Linked DNA regions of Arabidopsis thaliana. The protein of the gene in region 1 interacts with the protein of each later gene in a pairwise test. Each region holds a gene or a part of one and is shown in the gene's direction. Other genes may lie near its edges.

Region 1 (6,992 bases):
ATGTACCACAAGCCAAGAAACCGATGTTGAGGTTGCTCTTCTTGGTCAAGACTAAAGAACCCAAGTTGGAAAACCTGGTCTGGAGAACTAAGGGTATCTCCATCCTTAAGGAATTCTTTTGGAGTGATGACATTATAATCCAAAGCAACAGAGAGAGAAGATGAAATTAAGAACAGAGATAACGAAAACAGAGAATGAATTTCTCTCATCGAATGAAACCTTTTTTCTTTCTAGTTTTGTGACTCTTTACTAAATAAAGCAATCATTATAATACACATTATGAAAATCACATACAGATTTTTTTATTTTTTTTGTCAACTTCGTACAACCCAACTTGGCATAAGCGACAAGTCAAGATAAATTCAATGCAGATTGTCTGTGGATGTTGAACTTCAATGATAAAACTTTTCTTCAGAATGAAAAAAAAAATTATTAGGGTGTTTTGTTTGAACGCCAGAGACAAGATATGATTCCTCATTAAGTTTTGATGGCCATGTTGGAAGTTTCTCAGATTAAGAGTGTATAAGCCTAGCAAGGACAAAAGCAATAAATAGATGTGGCTAATCTTCCTTGACTTAGTCACCATATAAGGGAGCGAGTGGTCAGAATCAGATCATTGATAGTTTGATATGTACATTGCGACGATTCAAGTAAAATTCATGCATTGCATTATTGATCTGGTGGATATAGCCAATCGTTGGCGACCCACAGGTGAAGTCCTGACGTGACATGGCTCAGTCAACGCAAATACTACTCAACTTAGAGACGTAGCTGGCCTGTATCTAATTGTTTTAAGGCCCATATACGGCCCACGCTTCCATTTTCTTAAGTATGCTTTTCGTAGTGGACTGAAACCTTTTCTTGTCTATTTTCTCCAAGTCGATTCCTTGATGATCGATCGAGATGAACCTCTATCGAACAGAAACTTCGTTTCTAGAAATTAAATAAGCCTCCATGAACAACAGTTTTTTCTTTTTTTTTTCTTTTGGCTACTAGTATTCAAAATCTTTAACATATTCGCAAATTTGTTAATAAAATGTATTTCACTAGGAAAATAGAGATTGGAATTTGGAGGCGAAAAAACATTAGTTTACAACAATAGTAGTTGAAGCCAAGATCCAGAGTTTTCCTATTGATTTTAAGGGTCCGGTTTATTGTAATTTCCGACTATTTTTTAGTGGACCAATTATTTGGCAAGTAAGAAGTTTTTTTAAAAATATAGACCATATGTGTATAATAGTGACCGGATGGCCCAAACTGACATGTACCAATAGAAAATGAAGACCTAATTTTGGCACATGAACGTAACAGGTATAAGATCATCGTTGTCTCTAGCGAGAGAGCTCTGTAATGCTTACACTTCAACGTGGAGACTGTAAGAGATACGTGTACCAAGAAACGTGAACGCAAAGAAGGAAAGGAAAGAAAAAACGTGTACAAAAAGAGGCCCATGTTAATCATCATCCCTTAGGCCTTCTTAGCTTATGCATTGTCTCTTTGCTAGTCTTTTTCTCACAATCGTGTCGATATATTTTAAGGGTTTTTAACGTGTGGTTTTTCTGTAGGGAGCATTAGTAGAATTATTGATTGGTTTTATTCAAATATAGAATATATATATATATATATATATACATAAAACATTTATTGATGGATCATTGAATGTTCATTTGTTCGTTACAACATTTTCTTATTCAAATTTTATCGATCCTTGAATCAAAGACTTTGACATAAGCGAAACCATTGGTTACTTCTCTAAATTAAAATGAAATGGTAGTCTTCTAATAAATATATATGTTTAACAAACAAATTGGCATAATTTGATCGTTCTAACCAAAGATAGGATTTCGAATCCAAATTGGATGGGATGACTAGACTATTAGATATTTAGATCGATCACCAATCAAACAAAATAGGCGTGCTTTTATATTCATTAAGCTGGTTTAAAACAACAAACAATCCAGCATTTTTAATTTTAGTGGTTGAATAGTTAAGTTAATAAAATCAAAGATAAACAGAAAACAAACAGCTAGTTTTTCAAATTTTGGCGTTTAATTTTATTTGGAATATTTTTTTTTAATAAAACACACAAAAAAAAACTCTTTTGACAAAAATTGGCATCAATACTGCATATCGCATAGCCCCATACATACATGATACATGCCACATCTCTTAAAAGATGAGAACAAGAAGGGATGTATTTGAACTATTCTGACAATATTATATATACACACACATTTTGAATATGAATCTCTCTTCTTCAAAGTTCTGACTTGTTCCAAAATTCTTATCCACACAATGGAGGAAAAAAAGAAAAAGAAAAGCCACAATAATGAGCCATAACCACAACCACACCCACTCACCAGAGACTTTGTGTATCCGTGGCTCTCATCATGACATCTCATCTTCCTTTGATTCTTCACACCACCGTCGATCGCCACGTAGGATTTCCCCAAATCAAAGCATTCCACATAAGCACAATCTTTTATGTGGCCAGAGTTTAATCAACATTTGTTTTTCTTACAATGGGTTCGTGAGAGCCACAAATAAATCAACTATACGATTAAATAACCATATCTAACAAAAAAAAAAAACATTAAACAATTATAGTCCAAGTAAACAAATACTCGCCTACTATGTACCATATTAGAAAGTTTTTTATTCTCCCCCAATACCGATATATTATTTTGTAATTTAAAAATTCATTGTTATCTTATCCTCGCAAGAAACACAGATGTTTTGGATCAGTTTGGGAAGCGAAGAAGTATGGGAGAGAAGTAAAAAACAAAACAAGTGGTTTATAAAAAAAGAGGGAAAGATAATTGAACAAAGATACGTGGGGCCCATTAAACTTGTGTTATGGTCCAGACAAATCCCAGGTGGGCTCACGTGGCTACGAAGCCCATTGAGAACCTGATTCGTCCACGTAGGACGGGACAGAATCTCGCTCTCCTCCTTCCCCGGCTGAGATCTCGCCACGTCATCGACTAAATAAATCTCTCCCAAAAAAATATCTCGAAACTGAACCATGAGTTTGTCGCCACGTACAAACGGGGTTTGGCTTTGGCCCATACGCATTAATAACTGGTTTTCAAAAATCATTTAAACTTATTTATCCTAATAACGCATAATTAATGTGTTTTACTTAAACTGTAATGATTCTAAGTAGAAAATGTGAAACAGTATTTTTTATCCACAAGAAAAAATAAAACACAAGGATAAAGCTAAAAACAATAAAGAAAACATTACTGACTCAAGTAATTTAAATAATTGCAGCAGATATAGATCTGATAATTATCCAAACAAAAATCTCAAATAAAGGTTAAAGTGATAAACCCATCTCTAAAGCAAAAAGATTTTTAAGTTGAACCAATCCTTAATTGATTAAATACTATACGTTATTACAAAGTTAAATTGAAATGAAATGGATACTAACCACAGAATAAAAAAAAAAGGAAGGTGCTATATAAAATAGAGTCATTGTGAAACCAAAGAAGAGAAATAGATTTTTTAGCAGAAGGCAGAAAAAGACGAAACTAGCCTCCAAAGAATTGTTGAATCACAGAAAACTCGCCACGAAAAATATCCCAAATCCTGCAACTTGCACTTTCCTATTCTTCTTCTTCTTTCCTTATCTCTCCAAGGAACCAAAGCATAGACACAAAACGAACAACCACAGAAACTTGAAAGAGAGAAAGAGTTTGATTTTGATTAAAATGGGGAAGAAGTGTGATTTATGTAACGGTGTTGCAAGAATGTATTGCGAGTCAGATCAAGCTAGTTTATGTTGGGATTGCGACGGTAAAGTTCACGGCGCTAATTTCTTGGTAGCTAAACACACGCGTTGTCTTCTCTGTAGCGCTTGTCAGTCTCTTACGCCGTGGAAAGCTACTGGGCTTCGTCTTGGCCCAACTTTCTCCGTCTGCGAGTCATGCGTCGCTCTTAAAAACGCCGGCGGTGGCCGTGGAAACAGAGTTTTATCGGAGAATCGTGGTCAGGAGGAGGTTAATAGTTTCGAGTCCGAAGAAGATCGGATTAGAGAAGATCACGGTGACGGTGACGACGCGGAGTCTTACGATGATGATGAGGAAGAAGATGAGGATGAAGAGTACAGCGACGATGAGGATGAGGATGATGATGAGGATGGTGATGATGAGGAAGCGGAGAATCAAGTTGTGCCGTGGTCTGCGGCGGCGCAAGTTCCTCCGGTGATGAGTTCTTCATCTTCTGACGGAGGAAGCGGAGGTTCAGTGACGAAGAGGACGAGGGCTAGAGAGAATTCAGATCTTCTCTGCTCCGATGTATGGATCTATCTTTTTTAACTATTTTGTCGGGAAATTAACAGAGAAAGTTTTGGTTTTAATTATCGGTTTCGTTGTTTTGGAAAATGCAGGATGAGATCGGAAGCTCTTCAGCTCAAGGGTCAAACTATTCTCGGCCGTTGAAGCGATCGGCGTTTAAATCAACGGTTGTTGTTTAACTCACACTCTACCGTATCGTCAGAATGAACGGCGCCGATACATCGTCTTCTCCGATCTTTGCGATCTCCAAAACAAGAAGAGATCTCAGCCGTTGATTCCTTTTTTTTTCTTGTTTAAGTAAATCACCACCGTTCAGTTTTCTGACAATACTTTGTTTTAGAGATGAGGTAGTTTCTTTCTTTCTTTGAATGTCGTACAAAATCAAATCTTAACTTTTTATTTTTCTTATCAATATCATTATTATGTTGATTTTTTTTTTGTTAATCTACGTAAGTAAATTAATTTCGATTCGTAAGTTTATGACTTATGTTATATGATTATATTCAATGGATCAAAAGGAATGGGGGAGAGATTGGTGGCAGATGGACACAATGGTATACACATACCGTAAAAATAAAGTATATGATTTGCTTTGTAATTTCGACCACTCAATTGTGGGGACTACAAAGAAAATGAAATTAAATATGATAAAATTTCGAGAGATTTTTATAATGTAATGGGTCCTTGAGGTTACATTCATTCGCCAAGAACATTGAACCTGTCATATCTGCCGCGTCTGTGAACTGTGTTTGATGGTCCATAAAATATTGACACCCCCATGTTTTACCTTATAACGTTATCTCACCATGTTCTTCATTCACATGACAGGATCACATCTTTGTTCACCATAGTTCTTTCGATTTTAATTTAAAATTTTACTCCTATTGGTTTCGTGTGTGTCATTTGGGTCCTATATACATACATCAAAACCGTTTATCCCTTCTTTTTTTTAACCACTTGATTCTCTGGCTTACCGAGGAACTGGTGTTGTGGGGGTTGGACAGTTGGGTCTCTCTCGAATTAATTTGAATAAAACATGTGGTTCTCATTTAAACTACATATTCTTTTAACGCAAATTCTTATATTGTTTCAATTTATAAGTTTTTATACGATTCCAACAAAACAAAACAAAACATTCGAAATTTAAACTCATTATAAAATCGATATAAGAAAGTAGAAAATATTTGTTAGGAAATTCGCTGGGTTTCACTATCAACGCATGACTAGCGTCAAATACTTCAACCATTAGTCCATAGTTCCAATTCCTAAAGTCAAACCAAAAACCTAACGGATCAGTCTTTATCCCGTACGTTGAGTTTGACTATTAGATTAAACTACACTAATTAACTACAAACCTAACATTCATTCATTTTATTCAACCATAACGTAATTTACATTCACACGACATCGTCAATTCCAAATATAATAATTCAAAACTGGAAACAGGAGATATGAAACTTGTCATTTGAAACTCTATGACTGGATCAATAAATTAAACATGCGAGAGTATAGAAATGATTTTTTGATTAGTTCCATATTTGGTAGCTTCCTCATGAGAAAATGTATGCATGAGAATCGAGAATTGTCACAATACATATGTGAATTTCTCTTCTCTTCTTTTTGTTCCTTTGTGCTTTTCTTCTAAATTGATTTTCTTGTCATGATAATTCTTTAGCAAACTTGTTTTTTTTTCTCTTTTAAGAAACTTTGAGTTGTTAGGGAAAGAGAAGTGCGGAAGAGCTCTAAGTCAGCCAGTGTAGATCACAATAATGAAAAAGGAACAATAAAAACATCCTCTGTGCAGATATTTATCTAGAATGGAAACCATGCAAAGAGGACAGAGTTGAGCATATCCTTTTTAACATTAATTCATACCATATTATTATGTGTAAAGTGTGAGTGACATAAATGTTGTAAATAATCTATGTTGTAACATAAATGTTGGAAACGGATGAACAATTAGTATGAATAATTGAATACTTTGGTCGATTTGTTTTAAGTGTTAAAAACCAAAATAGATTCCATCTTTTAGTATCTCATCGGATATCAAATTAGATTGAAGATTAAGGTCATAACCCCAAAAGGGTATTGTTTAAATGTGAAAGTCATACATGGAAAAGGGCATTGTTTAAATGTGAAAATCATACATGGAGAATTATAAGAAGAACAAGGACTGGGAATAAATAATCCAGAGGAGATTCCAGAGACTTTTCAATATTGCAAAAGATAGCAATAAACAAACACACAAACACACTCCTCTGCACAAATCCGTTTTGTTTCATCCATCGTTGTACCTACGAATTCCAAAAGAATAAGAAAAAAACCCGAAAGAATGGTCGGTGGAGACCACTCAAAGTTGAAAAGGTTGTTTATATTTTACCTGACTGTGAAGAGGGTGAACCTGATGAGATACTAAGGCACTTTACTCATCTGTAAAAGGAAGAGGGCTCAATAGTTATTCGCTTTGGATAATAAAATCATACCCAGACAACCTTGTTTTAATTAATTAGCTTGATGTCAAATATCCTTCTACAAGTGTCAACTTGTAAGAGTTGAAACTAAGATTCACAAGAGGAGTCAATCAAGAAAAGATCATGTACATTTTCTTTTGCAAACCTAGGCTTTGACAATTCATAGCTATTTTGCATCATCTTACGCACAGTTATCATATGTCTAGAAAAGTGTATAACAAAG
Region 2 (6,406 bases), on another chromosome or scaffold:
AGGACTTGTTATAGATGCTTGTAAGTTGTATATCAAGTATTGTTAGCCTTCTAATAGGTGATACTGAAATTGAAGTATCTCGGTTAGTACTGGACGGAAAGAACAAGTGATCATTTCTCTCTGTAGATCTTGCTAGCTAATCTTAAACTCTCAGCAACAATGCTTACTTGAGTTTACCTCTGCCACTGTCAGCATTTAACTCGCACTATCTTTTCAACTATGTTTTATAGGAAGATGAATTGAAAGGTGCGGTGGTTCTGATATTTGCAAACAAGCAGGTTAGTAGTCTCTAAATGTTTGCTCTTCCGATTAGTTTGGGCTGATTCATCTGGAAATCTGTATTGGTTTCTGTTGCTAAAAAGCTTTAGTTTGTTTTGCATGCACAAGACACTTTTTTGCTGATGAAAAATCTATAACTATTTGGTCTGAGTTTCATTAAATCGACTTAATTTAGGATCTTCCCGGTGCACTCGATGATGCGGCTGTTACAGAAGCCTTGGAGTTGCATAAGATAAAGAGTCGTCAATGGGCAATCTTCAAAACTTGTGCTGTGAAAGGCGAGGGACTTTTCGAGGGATTGGACTGGTAAGCACATTCTGAAACCGAACCATTTTCTTGGTCCCATTATTGAAACACTGAACCCATTTCTTTATGCATTTCTTCTCAAATATTCTTCTCTCATTTCCATCTTGATCTTCAGGTTGAGTAATACATTGAAGTCGGGAAGTGGCTAAAATCATCGTCATACACCAATCTGTCACATTTCTCAAGAGTGTAACTTTGATCATTTTTACTTATTGGTTTGTTTAGTATCTTTTTTTTATCTTAGTTCTTCATCTTAAAGAGTTAATATCAATGACATGTTCACTTAATATTCTCTTTTTGTTGTTTTGTTTCATTCTGAAAGAAAAAACCCAACACAGATTTTTGATTGAGACCCATAAGGGGTAATATCATCACTTTTTAACATGAAATATTGAACTGATTCCAGACGAAACACTGAATTGGTTCCAAGTGGTGTTTTTGCCGACTTGGATTCAGAAGCTCAAACGTTTGGGGTTTTAGAAGTCCTAATTTATGTAATTTGTCTGCTCCTTAATTAATGATAAAATTGTTGACACTATTATGCCATTTAGTAGATAGTAAGATTTTTTTTTAATGTTTTCAAAGAGGCAAAAATAATTTGCAAGGAATATATAGAACTAGCAAGATACTAGCCTAAGCTATTTGATTAACTTTCCTGCTAATAATGCTAGTATGCTACCAAAACAAAACACAAGCGATTTGTGAAGCTCTTTCTTAAAGAGTCCGGCTCGGCGTTTAGAGAATGTAACTTGACGGTGGCTCTCTTTCTTGATCTTACCATAGAATCTTTTATATGGCGGGTGTTGAGCAAATTAACTTAAACAAATTTGTTTTATTATCGTAACTCAATAAAAATTACGATTTCTAGTCATAAACAAAAGGCTGTACATAGCATTAGGCCTGCTACGGATCCGGATATCCGGGTTTTTTGGAGTATCTGGATCCGTATCCGTATCCGGCGGATATGTAGTTTTAGGATCCGCATCCGGATCCGTAAACCTCGGATATCCGGATTTCGAATATCCATGAAAAAACCGGATATCCGCGGATATTCGAGATCCGTTTATTTTTGGGAACAAATTCAATTTCCTATTTCACCAACCAGATTGAATTCACCACCAAAAGAGATCGACGTGTGCCCGACATCAGACTTTGCAAGGCACATACCACCAAGATCTCGTCTTTAACGGTGTCCAATCTGCTCCTCCTCATTCATCTCCGCCATCGACACTTTGAATCCCATGTATCATCATTCCCGTAAGTAAACTTCCGTCCATAAATTTACGACGGTGGAACCGAGATGAATATGGTGGGGAGACGGTGATGAAGATTACATGGAGATGAGATGGAGATAGTGAAGGAAATGGTGATGAAGGAAACATTCACGGCGGCAGAAAAAATATGTTATGAAACCCTAATAGTTAAGTCCCAAACAAACTCAAATTCCATCATTTTGTCGTAGTGGGCTAATATTGGACTATTGGGCTTAACATTGATAATGTGTATTTGATTAAGCCCAGGATACAAATATAACTTAAGCCCATAATACAAATATGTAGACATATTGAACGGATGCGGATATTCGGCTCTGATTTTTTTCATAATCTGGATCCGTATCCGGATCCGCCGGACTCGTATCCAGATCCGCCGGACTCGTATCCAGATCCGCCGGACTCGTATCCGGATCCGTCGCACCTAATTATTCGGTTTTCCGGATCGGATCACGGATCCGGATTCGAATACCCGCGGATAACGGATTTTAGTCCCAGGCCTACATAGCATCTACGGTAATTATTAACTATTAAGTAACCATGGGTAAATTCGAATTTCCTTGCCGACAAAAAGAAGGAACTTTCCATTCCTTTTGTGAAAGTCCGTGAGAACATGAACCCAAGTTAATACACCTTCACATGATTAGCCCCACTTCTCCTAAATGTCTCGTAAACTCCAACTATTCGGCTAAGATTCACTAACGTGTCATCTCTCTATTCGCTATTCCCAGATCTCCATGACCCACTTCACTCCCTGCGCGTCCGGTACAATCGCCACTTCCATAACACCAAGAGTCAATACAAAAAAAAAGCCGACTCCATTATTATCCCTCTCTCTACAAAAAAAACAGTAGAGAGAGATATAGAGAGCATCAATGGCGTCGTCGTCAAGACTTTGCGATTCGTGCAAATCGACGGCAGCAACTCTATTCTGCCGCGCAGACGCCGCGTTTCTCTGCGGCGACTGCGACGGTAAGATCCACACAGCTAACAAACTCGCATCACGTCACGAACGAGTTTGGCTATGTGAAGTATGCGAACAAGCACCAGCACACGTCACGTGCAAAGCTGACGCCGCTGCGTTATGCGTCACGTGCGACCGTGATATCCACTCAGCTAATCCACTCTCTCGCCGCCACGAGCGCGTACCAATCACTCCTTTCTACGACGCTGTAGGTCCAGCAAAATCCGCTTCCTCCTCCGTCAATTTCGTAGATGAAGATGGCGGTGACGTCACTGCTTCGTGGCTTTTAGCTAAAGAAGGAATCGAAATCACTAATTTGTTCTCCGATCTTGATTATCCGAAGATTGAGGTAACGTCGGAGGAGAATAGCTCCGGTAACGACGGAGTTGTTCCTGTGCAGAATAAGTTGTTTCTTAACGAAGATTACTTCAATTTCGATCTCTCTGCTTCCAAAATTTCTCAACAAGGATTCAATTTCATCAACCAAACTGTACGAATCTCTCTCTATCTTCTTAAGCTTCCATGGATCTGGAAAATTTTCAGATCTAGATCTGAAAGTTTGGATCTGATTTGAGTTTGTGAAATGTTGTTAGGTTTCGACGAGAACGATAGATGTACCGTTGGTGCCTGAAAGTGGAGGAGTGACGGCGGAGATGACGAACACGGAGACGCCAGCTGTGCAGTTATCACCGGCGGAGAGGGAAGCAAGGGTTTTGAGGTATAGAGAGAAGAGGAAGAATCGGAAATTTGAGAAGACGATTAGGTATGCGTCGCGTAAAGCTTACGCTGAGATGAGGCCGAGAATCAAAGGACGTTTTGCTAAGAGAACAGATTCGAGAGAGAATGATGGTGGAGACGTCGGAGTTTATGGCGGATTCGGTGTTGTTCCGAGTTTCTGATATTTTCCGGTGAAAGAAACATGGTAGTAGTATATCGGTTAATAGCAGATTAAGGATAATTAAAACTAAAATGTTTCCTGATTTAATCAGGGGCTAAGTTATTGTTAGAAGATTGTTGTTTTTTGAATTAATTCTCACAATTGTATCCTAAATTATATAGTTTACTTAATGTTGAACTAATAAATTTTGATTTACAATCTCTGTAAGAAATCGATATGCAAAAATAAATGAGTTGAGCTATTAAGATTAACATTCATATAGAACACAAACTCATACAATCAGCTGTGGTGGTGTCCGAGACTGCAAAATTCAAGAGGCGATGGAGGCCAACGTTGATGGTGAACGAGGCCAGATTCGAGAAGCAAAAACTTGTCACGCGGTTGAAGAGAAAGAGCATTTAAAGAAGAGGTGGTTGTGGGTTTCGATACCGTTAGAGCAAAGCACACAAGCTGCAGAGATATTCAGTCCCCAACTTATGAGCCTGTCTTTCTTAAGCAATCTACCTTTCAATGCAAGCTAAGTGATGAAAGAATACCTTGGCACTGCATTCTTGAACCAAACAACCTTATTCCAAGGAATCAAAGTAGAATGTGCTCGTAATTGCTCTCAAGTTTCCTTAGAAGAGAAAAATTGTGCAAAGAAACCAAACATTAAGATATTTAGTTATTAATGAAAATTCAAACATGAGAAAAAACTTAATCAAACGAAAGCAACACAAAAGAAGAAGAAATCTACATATTCTAAAATAACAAACCACTAATTCTCTTTTAGTAAATGGTATAACCTTGAAGGAGAACCCTTTCAAGTATTAGATAATCTAATCATTTTTCGTCGTCATTACTCATAAAGTGTCGAAATATCACTTCATATCAATTGGTTTGCGTAAAACTGACCATACGTCTTCAATGATTGTCATATCAAATGATTCGAAAAGTGTTGGCATATGCATACTCTAGTTTTCATAATGAATCGATTCTCAGACTCTTAGCAAACAAAGGAACATAACATCATCATAATAAAATTTTGAATGAAGTCAGAAACCGCAAATCAAAACTGTGAAGATATGAACTTGATAAGCAAGTTTAAAGCTAACTCAAGTTAATATAAGTTGAACTTGGGTTGAGTTAAATGCTTTTGGATCATAAAGGAGGGTGTCCACGATGTTGCAAGGGCTGGCACAAGTTAGGACAGTCTTCTCATCTTGTGTTTCAAGCAGCCACGTTTGGCGTTTCAAGATGCAACCTTTAAGGTTTACTTTAGCACAAGAAGCTCTAGTTTTATTATCACTATCAATTCACAACAATGTTATTGTGGCCCAGCAGTTAAGTCTCTGTTCCACTTAAGCTTTGACTTATAACTCTTGTAGTCACCTTCTTCTTCATAGTGGAAAGATGTGGATCGAAAGAAAGATCATAACCGGACGTAGCGGTTCGTTAATACCGTGAACCAGGTGAACAAATATTTGTGTGCTTCTCTCTTCTTCTCCCTTTCTTCTACTCTGTTATTTCCTCTTATTCTTCTCCATACTTTGCGTGATATGTTTTTCGTGAGTTGGTGTCAATGACAAAGAGCTGAAAGCTAGAGCCTTTGAGAGGTTAAAAACTTTATGTAATATTGTGACGACAAGATCTAAAAATATATGCGGGGATCAACTTAATATTTTTAAAATAAGTATATACATAAGAGATAAAACTAAGTATGCCATTATTTTAAAATTTAAATTTATCATGATATATTGTAATTAACAGTTTAAGTAATGGTAGCAATGTCCAAATGAATTGTGAACTGTCGGGATCAATGACATTGAAATTCTACAATTCATTGAAATATTATTGAGATAATATTATTCTTTGTGTCAATAGGAGGAGAAAAATATATCACCATTTTCGGATGTCAACCAACCGATTTTGACATTCAAAACATATTGTACAAAATATGCTATTACTAATAAAATTCAGTATAAATTTATCATTTTATTTGGTAGCAATTTCTACATAAAATCTGAACTTCCGAGATAAATGGCTTCAAAATTCTCAACCATATGGAATTTTTTTTTTTTTTTTTTGTGACATTAGGTGAAACTAAACCAAAATATATGAAAATAATTTCCTACATTTTATAAATTGAATTTTTTTTTTCTTCTAATTAACTGAATTGAGAAGGGGTTTTCAAGAGATGACAAGTACTACTCTTGTAAACAGAGAAGAAATACTCAAAGTTATATTCTCATTCTTAACCTTCTCATTACATAGCTTTATCTATTTATATGAAAAGCTAAGGGATACAATGGTTGAACTAGAGTTTTAGTAAATGTTTTGATGAATGACAAGTGTCTTCATCTGCACATGGCTGGAGATTCAAGGACTGTGAAGCTATTCTTCAATTGGAGTGTAGCGTGAGCTGGAGTCGACATTTTGACAGTACGAAGCTGAGTACATGACGACGATGCTCTGTTACCGTTAAAGTCTGAAGAAGCTTTTACACTCGTCTTGGGCTTTGTTTGCATAGTTAGGTCTATTACAATTGTTTTGGTTGTCTATTGGACCAAGACTGGAGTTGTCTTCCTTACATTTTGAATTCAAAAATTTTCAGATTATTTTGCACGGATGACAAAGTTTTAATTTATTTTGTTGGTCGGATCGTTTTATATTCATTTATTTTATTTTGTGCATATTTTCCTTAACATA
Region 3 (7,554 bases), on another chromosome or scaffold:
TTATTAAGAAATCGTCTGATTTCTATCATTGTTGTAATCAATTTGATAAGCTAGCTTCAACTTTCATATCTATGTTAGTGTTTCAAAATTACTATCATATGCATTCCGTTCATACTTATTTCATCAATTAGTCCATGCATGCATGTGCTTATTATTTAGATTAATTATATTTATGTCACTGGCAATGCGTATACTATTATTAACCCACAAAAAGGTGAAACTGATTACAATTTTTCGAATCGTATTCGTAAATTACTAATCAACATGTTATGACGATCAAAACAACTGCAGCGTTACCGTAGAAATAAAAATAAATTGAATAACTTAGAAGTGAGAGTAATGTTTGCAACTTGTGCAGTCAAACAGAATATAAATAAGAAGAAAAATTCTCAAATAGGCATCTGATATTTTATCTTTCCTTTTTGATATTTTCTTAGAAATAAACTACATTTTAAATGGTCTTTTCTTTCTAATTAGCAAGAAAAAAACACACTCGAAAGACTCACTCCCTTCCTATAAATAGGCGAGCAAATGTCAAGCTTTTTACATACTCAAAACAAAACAAAACATACATCAAAACGCTAAAGTTTAAACCCCTAGCCATCATCAGATCTTCAGACTTCTGAGGATCATGGACAAAGTGATGAGAATGTCTTCAGAGAAAGGAGTGGTGATCTTCACGAAGAGCTCATGTTGTCTCTGCTACGCCGTTCAAATCCTGTTCCGTGACCTTAGGGTTCAACCAACCATCCACGAGATCGACAACGACCCGGACTGCCGTGAGATCGAGAAGGCTCTTCTCCGGCTCGGCTGTTCCACGGCGGTTCCAGCTGTCTTTGTCGGAGGCAAGCTTGTTGGCTCCACCAATGAAGTCATGTCCCTTCACCTTAGTGGCTCTCTTGTCCCATTGATCAAACCCTATCAGTCCATCCTTTACTAGCAAAATTAAACCAACTCAATATATAATATCTAATTATTAGCTAGTGAGAATAAACACAGTTACAGCTAGAGTGTGAGCTAGCTAGATATTCAGTGAGGACTTCGTCTGAATTAATGTTTATCGTTTGTATGTTCTATTGTTTAGCTTCTCTCGTGTTTCAGTTTAGTTAATCAACTGGTGTATGTTGATGTATGACTCTCTGTTTATGCTAATGAAAATAGTATTGAAACTTTTACATTTTTTCCCACACAATTAGTAACGATCTCTTGTGTATGTTGAGTAATTTAGGGCTTTCCATATAATAAGGCAAGAAACCGTTTATACTTGTCTGTTTTTAACATGGTATCAGAAGGAGGCTACACACAAACCATTTTCTTATTTAGAAATATTCACATACACTGACAGTAGCTAGAATAAAAATGTGAATGGCCAACACATGCATGAACTCGTCTTCTAATTATCAAGATGTAATGTATAAGTTGGCTTCATCATTATTAGTTAGACCTATTGATAGTTAACATTATATCGGGCGATATACAGATTTAGCCTTTGTGATGTTGTGTTTAGAGCGTACTTTTGAATCAAGGATAAATCAGTGCCCATTAGAGTATATATAAATCGAATGTGAAAAATATTAGATCAGAATAGACTTAATTAGTCTCCACCATACAAATTTGGTAAGAAGAAAAACAATGATAAGATACCAGTGGCCTAATGCAACTAAAGCAGTTTGAGGAAGAGGATGGAAGATCTTTCGCGGTCCAAGTATATCATGGCTACACAAAATCACTGCTCTTTTTGCGTTCCTTTATTCTTGAGTATCTTCACGTTTAATTTACTATTATTTTCTAATGAAAAATTGTACACCTTTTTATATATATGAACTCTTTGTTTTTTCGTTAGTTGCTCGTGTAGTAAATTAAACATATATGCTCATAATCAATAAAAACATACAATGTTAGAAGAAAAAAATACAATTTTTTTTACTAACGAATCATATGAATAGTTGTTTTATATACGGTACATTAACGATCCTCTCATCAGCTTTATAGATAACGAAGCATATTATTCTCCTTAGTTCCGCTTTTTATCACTTGAGATTAAACTCTACTCACAGGTTTAAGCACGTAAATTAGTTACTAAATAATGGATTTGACATTTACGCTTTGCATGCTTATATATGTTACCCATAATTATTTCCCTTTAGTTACTTAAAGTTACCAAAATCAACTACTTCAAGATTCTCCAATCAAAAGAAGCGTGTAAAAGCCTCTATAGTTATATAGTAGTATATAGACCTTGAAGATTTCTTTTTGAAGAAAATATGATTATACTGAGTTCAAAAGGTCGAAAAGAAATAATAAAGGTAGAATCCCTTTACATGATGTGTGGAACAACTTTTCTTGACCTCCAACTTCTTGGGATCGTGGGAAATATATAGGAGAATCTAATCGGAAGTTGTACAGAACGTGTAAGAACTAAGAACCATATTCACTTTGTTGTCATTGTTATAAGATTCAAGATTCTTTGACCGGCGCGTGAAAAAAGCATCCACCTATAGGCTCAAGATTCGTGTCCAAGAAAATATCGAGAACCGATGATTACTTGGAAAGTGGACCATTTTTTAAAAAATCAAAAATTAAAAAAGGAACGTAGCTCATGCGAATAGTTTAGTCCACCAAAGTGAAATGGTAGAACATTTGGTTTCAGTTTAGTTGTGTGTATTTTTATTAAAGGCTTCAGAATCAATTTCGATTTTTGAAAAATGAGTTTTTATAGCCATGTTAGTATGTTACGAGGATGGAAAAGCAACCTAGCTAGATTATCTTGTGATATGTGTTATTGTTCAAGAGAAGTAGGGGCAGTAGTTGTCGAGATCATGTTATTAGTGTCGCTGGAATGTTAGATATTGCCCATCCTGTCTCTTTTTCCCCATCGTGCCCTAAAAGTCAAACTATGCATGGTATTAGCTAATCTTGAATAGGTTTAATTCAGTACGGAAACTCTAATTGAAAACTACCTTCATGGAGTAATAGTTATCGAGGAACGATGATGAGGTATTAGTGGAGATAAGCAGATTTGGACTCAATATCAAAAATTAATGGTGGGATCCATTTCCGTTTCACCTAATATACATAGTGGCAAACAAAAAACAAATATAAGAAGAAAAGATTCAGTATCGAGCATTCTAGCTATGTCGGTAACGTGACAAAGTCCTTTTTTTCGTTTGTCTGTTTCTTTAAAGTTAATCAAATCGGCCAACGCTGCCTCAACAACGAGCTTCCTTTTTCTAACGTCCCTAATTTGCCACGTCCATTTTCTGGACTAGTCCCGGTTTAAAAAATCTTCAGAGATGTATTCGTGGTCAACTTCATTAACTCTTTCTCTTGAGCCCTTCATTAGTTATGATCTTATTTACTTTTTAAAAATCTAACCAAGTACTGTATATTATATATGTGGTAGCCAAAATATTATGTTAAATTCTAGGCTAATCCGATATATCAAGAAAAATCAATATATAAAAATGGAGAGCTATTTTTCACGAGTTAAGTGAGAGAGATGAGTAAAGAAAGGCACGGGAAGGTGAAGAGAGTGTAGGTTTCCAGCTTCTTCCCCAAGAAATAAAATGTATTTGACTTTGTCTAAGCAAATATGTCGTCACTTTAACGTCATTCATTACCTAGAATGCAATTAAGATATGGCTTTTACATAAGCCACCAAATTTGGTTTTGTTGCCCCAAAATATCCCAAGAAAAGATCAACTTCTTCTTCTTACCAAAACTGTCGGCGTCGTCTCCTCTAAGCTCCTCCCATGGAAGCAGAAGAAGGTCATCAGCGTGACCGCCTCTGCGACTATTGCGACTCCTCCGTGGCTCTTGTCTACTGCAAAGCTGACTCCGCCAAGCTCTGCCTCGCCTGCGACAAGCAAGTCCACGTCGCCAACCAACTCTTCGCCAAACACTTCAGGTCACTTCTCTGCGACTCCTGCAACGAATCTCCCTCTTCCCTTTTCTGCGAGACTGAAAGGTCTGTTCTTTGCCAGAACTGCGACTGGCAACACCACACCGCCTCTTCCTCCCTTCATAGCCGCAGACCCTTTGAAGGATTTACCGGCTGTCCCTCCGTGCCTGAGTTGCTGGCCATCGTTGGCCTCGATGACCTCACTCTCGATTCCGGATTGCTTTGGGAGTCACCTGAGATCGTTAGCCTCAACGACCTTATTGTTTCGGGCGGGTCGGGTACTCATAACTTCCGGGCCACGGATGTTCCTCCTCTGCCTAAGGTATAACTTGCTCTGTTTTTTTTCTCGAGCCAATTGCTCGGTTTTTATATTTCTCTGAAATGTTTTGAAATGCTCCAGAATCGTCACGCCACCTGCGGGAAATACAAAGATGAGATGATCCGACAGCTCCGTGGACTATCCAGATCTGAGCCTGGTTGTCTGAAATTTGAAACCCCAGATGCTGAGATCGATGCCGGGTTCCAATTCCTAGCGCCGGATTTGTTTTCTACATGCGAGCTGGTAATAGAGACTGCTATTGGTTGTGTTTTCTTGTGCTTGTCAAATGATTTTCCAGCTTATAAATCTCTCTTGTCAATATGAAGGAGAGTGGACTGAAATGGTTCGATCAGCAAGATCATGAGGACTTTCCATATTGCTCTCTGCTAAAGAACTTGTCGGAGTCAGATGAGAAACCTGAGAATGTAGACCGAGAGTCATCGGTGATGGTTCCCGTTTCCGGCTGCTTAAACCGATGTGAGGAAGAGACTGTGATGGTTCCGGTTATCACTAGTACAAGGTCGATGACACATGAGATCAACAGTCTTGAGAGGAACTCTGCTCTCTCTCGCTACAAAGAAAAGAAGAAGTCTCGAAGGTAAACAAGCTAATTTAAAAAGTGAGACACCACCAATAGGATTGGGATTTGAATCATGTGTTGATGAAACAGGTACGAGAAACACATCAGGTATGAATCACGCAAGGTTCGTGCAGAAAGCAGGACAAGAATCAGGGGACGTTTCGCCAAGGCAGCAGATCCATGAATGATGATGAGGTTACTTTGATAATCAAAAATCTTTTGTATTAATCGAATCATATAGTGTGTATGATCAGATAAGTTTTTGTATTCTAAGCTTAGGAGTTATCACTGTATATCGACCACACTCTCAAAATTGTCACTTAAGAATAGTTTTTTTTTTGTTTTGCCTCCGATTCCTAATTTGCCAAAGGGCAAGCATGGACGAGCACAGAACAAAACATGGTTCACAGTTATATACAATCTCAAGACAAGCAAGCAGCAAAAGAACTTGTTGTAATGTTAGAAAGTGAGATTGGACCCATTAAAGATCCATGGAGCAAGAAGGGCTTGATGTAATTGATATTATGGGCTCAAGTTGTAACATAGTAAACCCAATATAGGTTGGCATGTTTGGGCCATTTTCTTTTAAAGCCCAAATATAAAAGCGTCTCTTCCCGATGGCCGGCGAAACAGAAATTCCGCTGCCGTCGCAGCTTTCACTCTTGTTTTTTTATTCAGATGAAATTGGATGGCCGATGAAGACAAACATCCAAAGGCATGGGCTCGCGGCAACAACTATTTGCAATCTACCAATATATAATAATCTGAGGCAGTATAAAAATACAAAAAAAAATGACAACACTTTTTGGCAGATCATTCCTGCTACGATGAATCTGTCCCAATGATAATCTGAGAAGTAAAGTAAGTTTTGGTTGAACAAGGAATCTGGAGTGGGTTTTACTTGTTGAGCAATCAGTAAGCACTAAATCATGTATCAGAGTTGTGGTTATATTCTCTATGTTCTTCTTAGAATTCAAATATGAATCTGACTTGGAGTTCTTTATTTTAATGATGGTTAATTTTACTGTTAATATTTTTGGATTTGAACATTTGGTGAAGAGTGGTTGCAGCTTGAAGCAATTTTGCATCTCTCACTCTTCGTTTACTGTTTGTTGACGTTGAAGATTAGGCCCCAACAAACTTGTATATAAGAGCCCTTCTCTGTTTATTCTCCTGTCTTAAGAGCGCTAAATCCCTTGGAGACATCTTCACCACACTGTTCAGAGATCTGTCATGGGCCCCGGAGGACCAGGAGGACCCGGAGGACCAGGGTTCTTGCCACCGGGAGGACCAGGCTTCTTCCCACCCATTGGTGGTTTCTTTTCTGGGTTCTCCGACATGATATGTTCCTGGTAAAGACATTCTCTGTTTTGCTATGTGTTTTGTAAAGAGTTAAGTGGTTAGTCTGACTGTGGAATCTTGCAGTCTATCTTGTCTGTGCTGCTGCTGGCTGCTACGAGATTGCTTTGGCGGCCCACCGCCACAAGGACCGCCACTTCTGCCACCCTATTATTGACCACATCTGACTCCATTGGTCACTCGAATAATATTAAAGCTATCTCTGTATAGGATATTGCAGATGTTTGTCAAATTCAATCTTAAATATAATAATTCAAATGTCTCAATTTCTGCTCTGTGTGGATATATATTACCCAAAAAACGATCAAATTAATTATCAGAGAAATGAAATCATAGTCTGGAACTACAATCACTAGCAACACAATGCAACAACAACAACAACAAACACAATCTACTGTCTTCGATTCTTGACTCTTCTCTTGTATGGACTTGCCAAGACTTTTGAAACTATGTACACACACTTCTAAGACGAGGCCAAACCAGTCTTCTCTTTCAACATGATACAACTAAATAAACACGGAGTCACAGGGTTTGATGGAATTAATCATTCACATGCTATCTTGGTGTCGAAACTGCTGAGGCAAATGGTGAAGGCCTGGAAGGCAGAGATAGGGTACTGATAATCCATTGTGAACACATCTTTTCCGACTTTTCCAAACTGGAGAATCACGTTTTCGTGCTCAGGTCCTGCAGGTCCATTCTCAGGAGCAGCTACCAGCTGAAAGTTTTTGACGGAAGCAACTGTGACTCTCCCATTGAAGTTGAGGCACCAGCACTGGAGCTGTTCGTGCCATCTGGGCGCTTTGTTTTTCAGGACAAGCAGTCCTTCCTTCTGAGCAGCAGATGATGGACCAGAAGGGAGACTCTCTGCACGAATTGATTTCGACCTGAAGAAGGAGAATGAGGGGAAACTATCAAGATTGCTATGGACAAGTTCCGTCTGAGTTGGAGCTGTTCCTCCAGGTTCTACAGCTGATGCAGGGATGGCATCCATGACACACTGCATCCTCCTCGGTCCTCTGGTATGATACGACAATGTTCACAATTAGCAAAAGCCATATTAAGCAACTACCGTTTTATCTCACAATGTATCTGTAAGCAAGGAGATAAATCACCTGGAACCCAAGACGTTAAGCTCATATGAGATATGTGCTACAGGATAGTTGCCAGATGGAATTCTCGGGCTCACTTGTTTCAAACTGAGAAGTCTGCTTGAACGGGTTCTGGTAACCTGAGTTCCAGGATTCGTCGGCTGAGCGTCATAGACAGTGAACTTGGTCCCCAGAAAGTTAGATCTGAAAGAAAGTTAAGATAAGAGAAAGGTTATGGCAAATATATGAAAAAACCATGGGGTCAATCTGTAGCTAAGTACCTAAGCTTTCCGATATAGGTATT

What was found.
Region 2: the proteins of BBX28 (region 1) and COL3 interact in a two-hybrid assay, tested with the Arabidopsis thaliana proteins (one large-scale study listed by BioGRID).
Region 3: the proteins of BBX28 (region 1) and AT2G47890 interact in a two-hybrid assay, tested with the Arabidopsis thaliana proteins (one large-scale study listed by BioGRID).

Annotation. Positions count from the first base shown.
Region 1 is NC_003075.7:13,672,140-13,679,131, forward strand, and holds BBX28 (B-box type zinc finger family protein), read left to right. Parts: upstream 1-3,397; 5' UTR 3,398-3,713; coding exon 3,714-4,298; intron 4,299-4,390; coding exon 4,391-4,477; 3' UTR 4,478-4,916; downstream 4,917-6,992. Other genes in the region: AT4G27300 (S-locus lectin protein kinase family protein), read right to left, coding at 1-209; PHOS34 (Adenine nucleotide alpha hydrolases-like superfamily protein), read right to left, coding at 6,721-6,728.
Region 2 is NC_003071.7:10,564,228-10,570,633, forward strand, and holds COL3 (CONSTANS-like 3), read left to right. Parts: upstream 1-2,608; 5' UTR 2,609-2,731; coding exon 2,732-3,310; coding exon of another isoform or gene 3,311-3,394; exon of another isoform or gene 3,395-3,396; intron 3,397-3,413; coding exon 3,414-3,719; 3' UTR 3,720-3,918; downstream 3,919-6,406. Other genes in the region: ARF3 (ADP-ribosylation factor 3), read left to right, coding at 231-278, 455-585, 701-734; AT2G24780 (uncharacterized protein), read right to left, coding at 1,454-1,612.
Region 3 is NC_003071.7:19,604,493-19,612,046, forward strand, and holds AT2G47890 (B-box type zinc finger protein with CCT domain-containing protein), read left to right. Parts: upstream 1-3,503; 5' UTR 3,504-3,752; coding exon 3,753-4,223; intron 4,224-4,301; coding exon 4,302-4,463; coding exon of another isoform or gene 4,464-4,544; exon of another isoform or gene 4,545-4,546; coding exon 4,547-4,818; coding exon of another isoform or gene 4,819-4,822; exon of another isoform or gene 4,823-4,890; coding exon 4,891-4,984; 3' UTR 4,985-5,795; downstream 5,796-7,554. Other genes in the region: AT2G47880 (Glutaredoxin family protein), read left to right, coding at 632-940; AT2G47885 (uncharacterized protein), read right to left, coding at 739-876; TLP3 (tubby like protein 3), read right to left, coding at 6,704-7,178, 7,275-7,454, 7,532-7,554.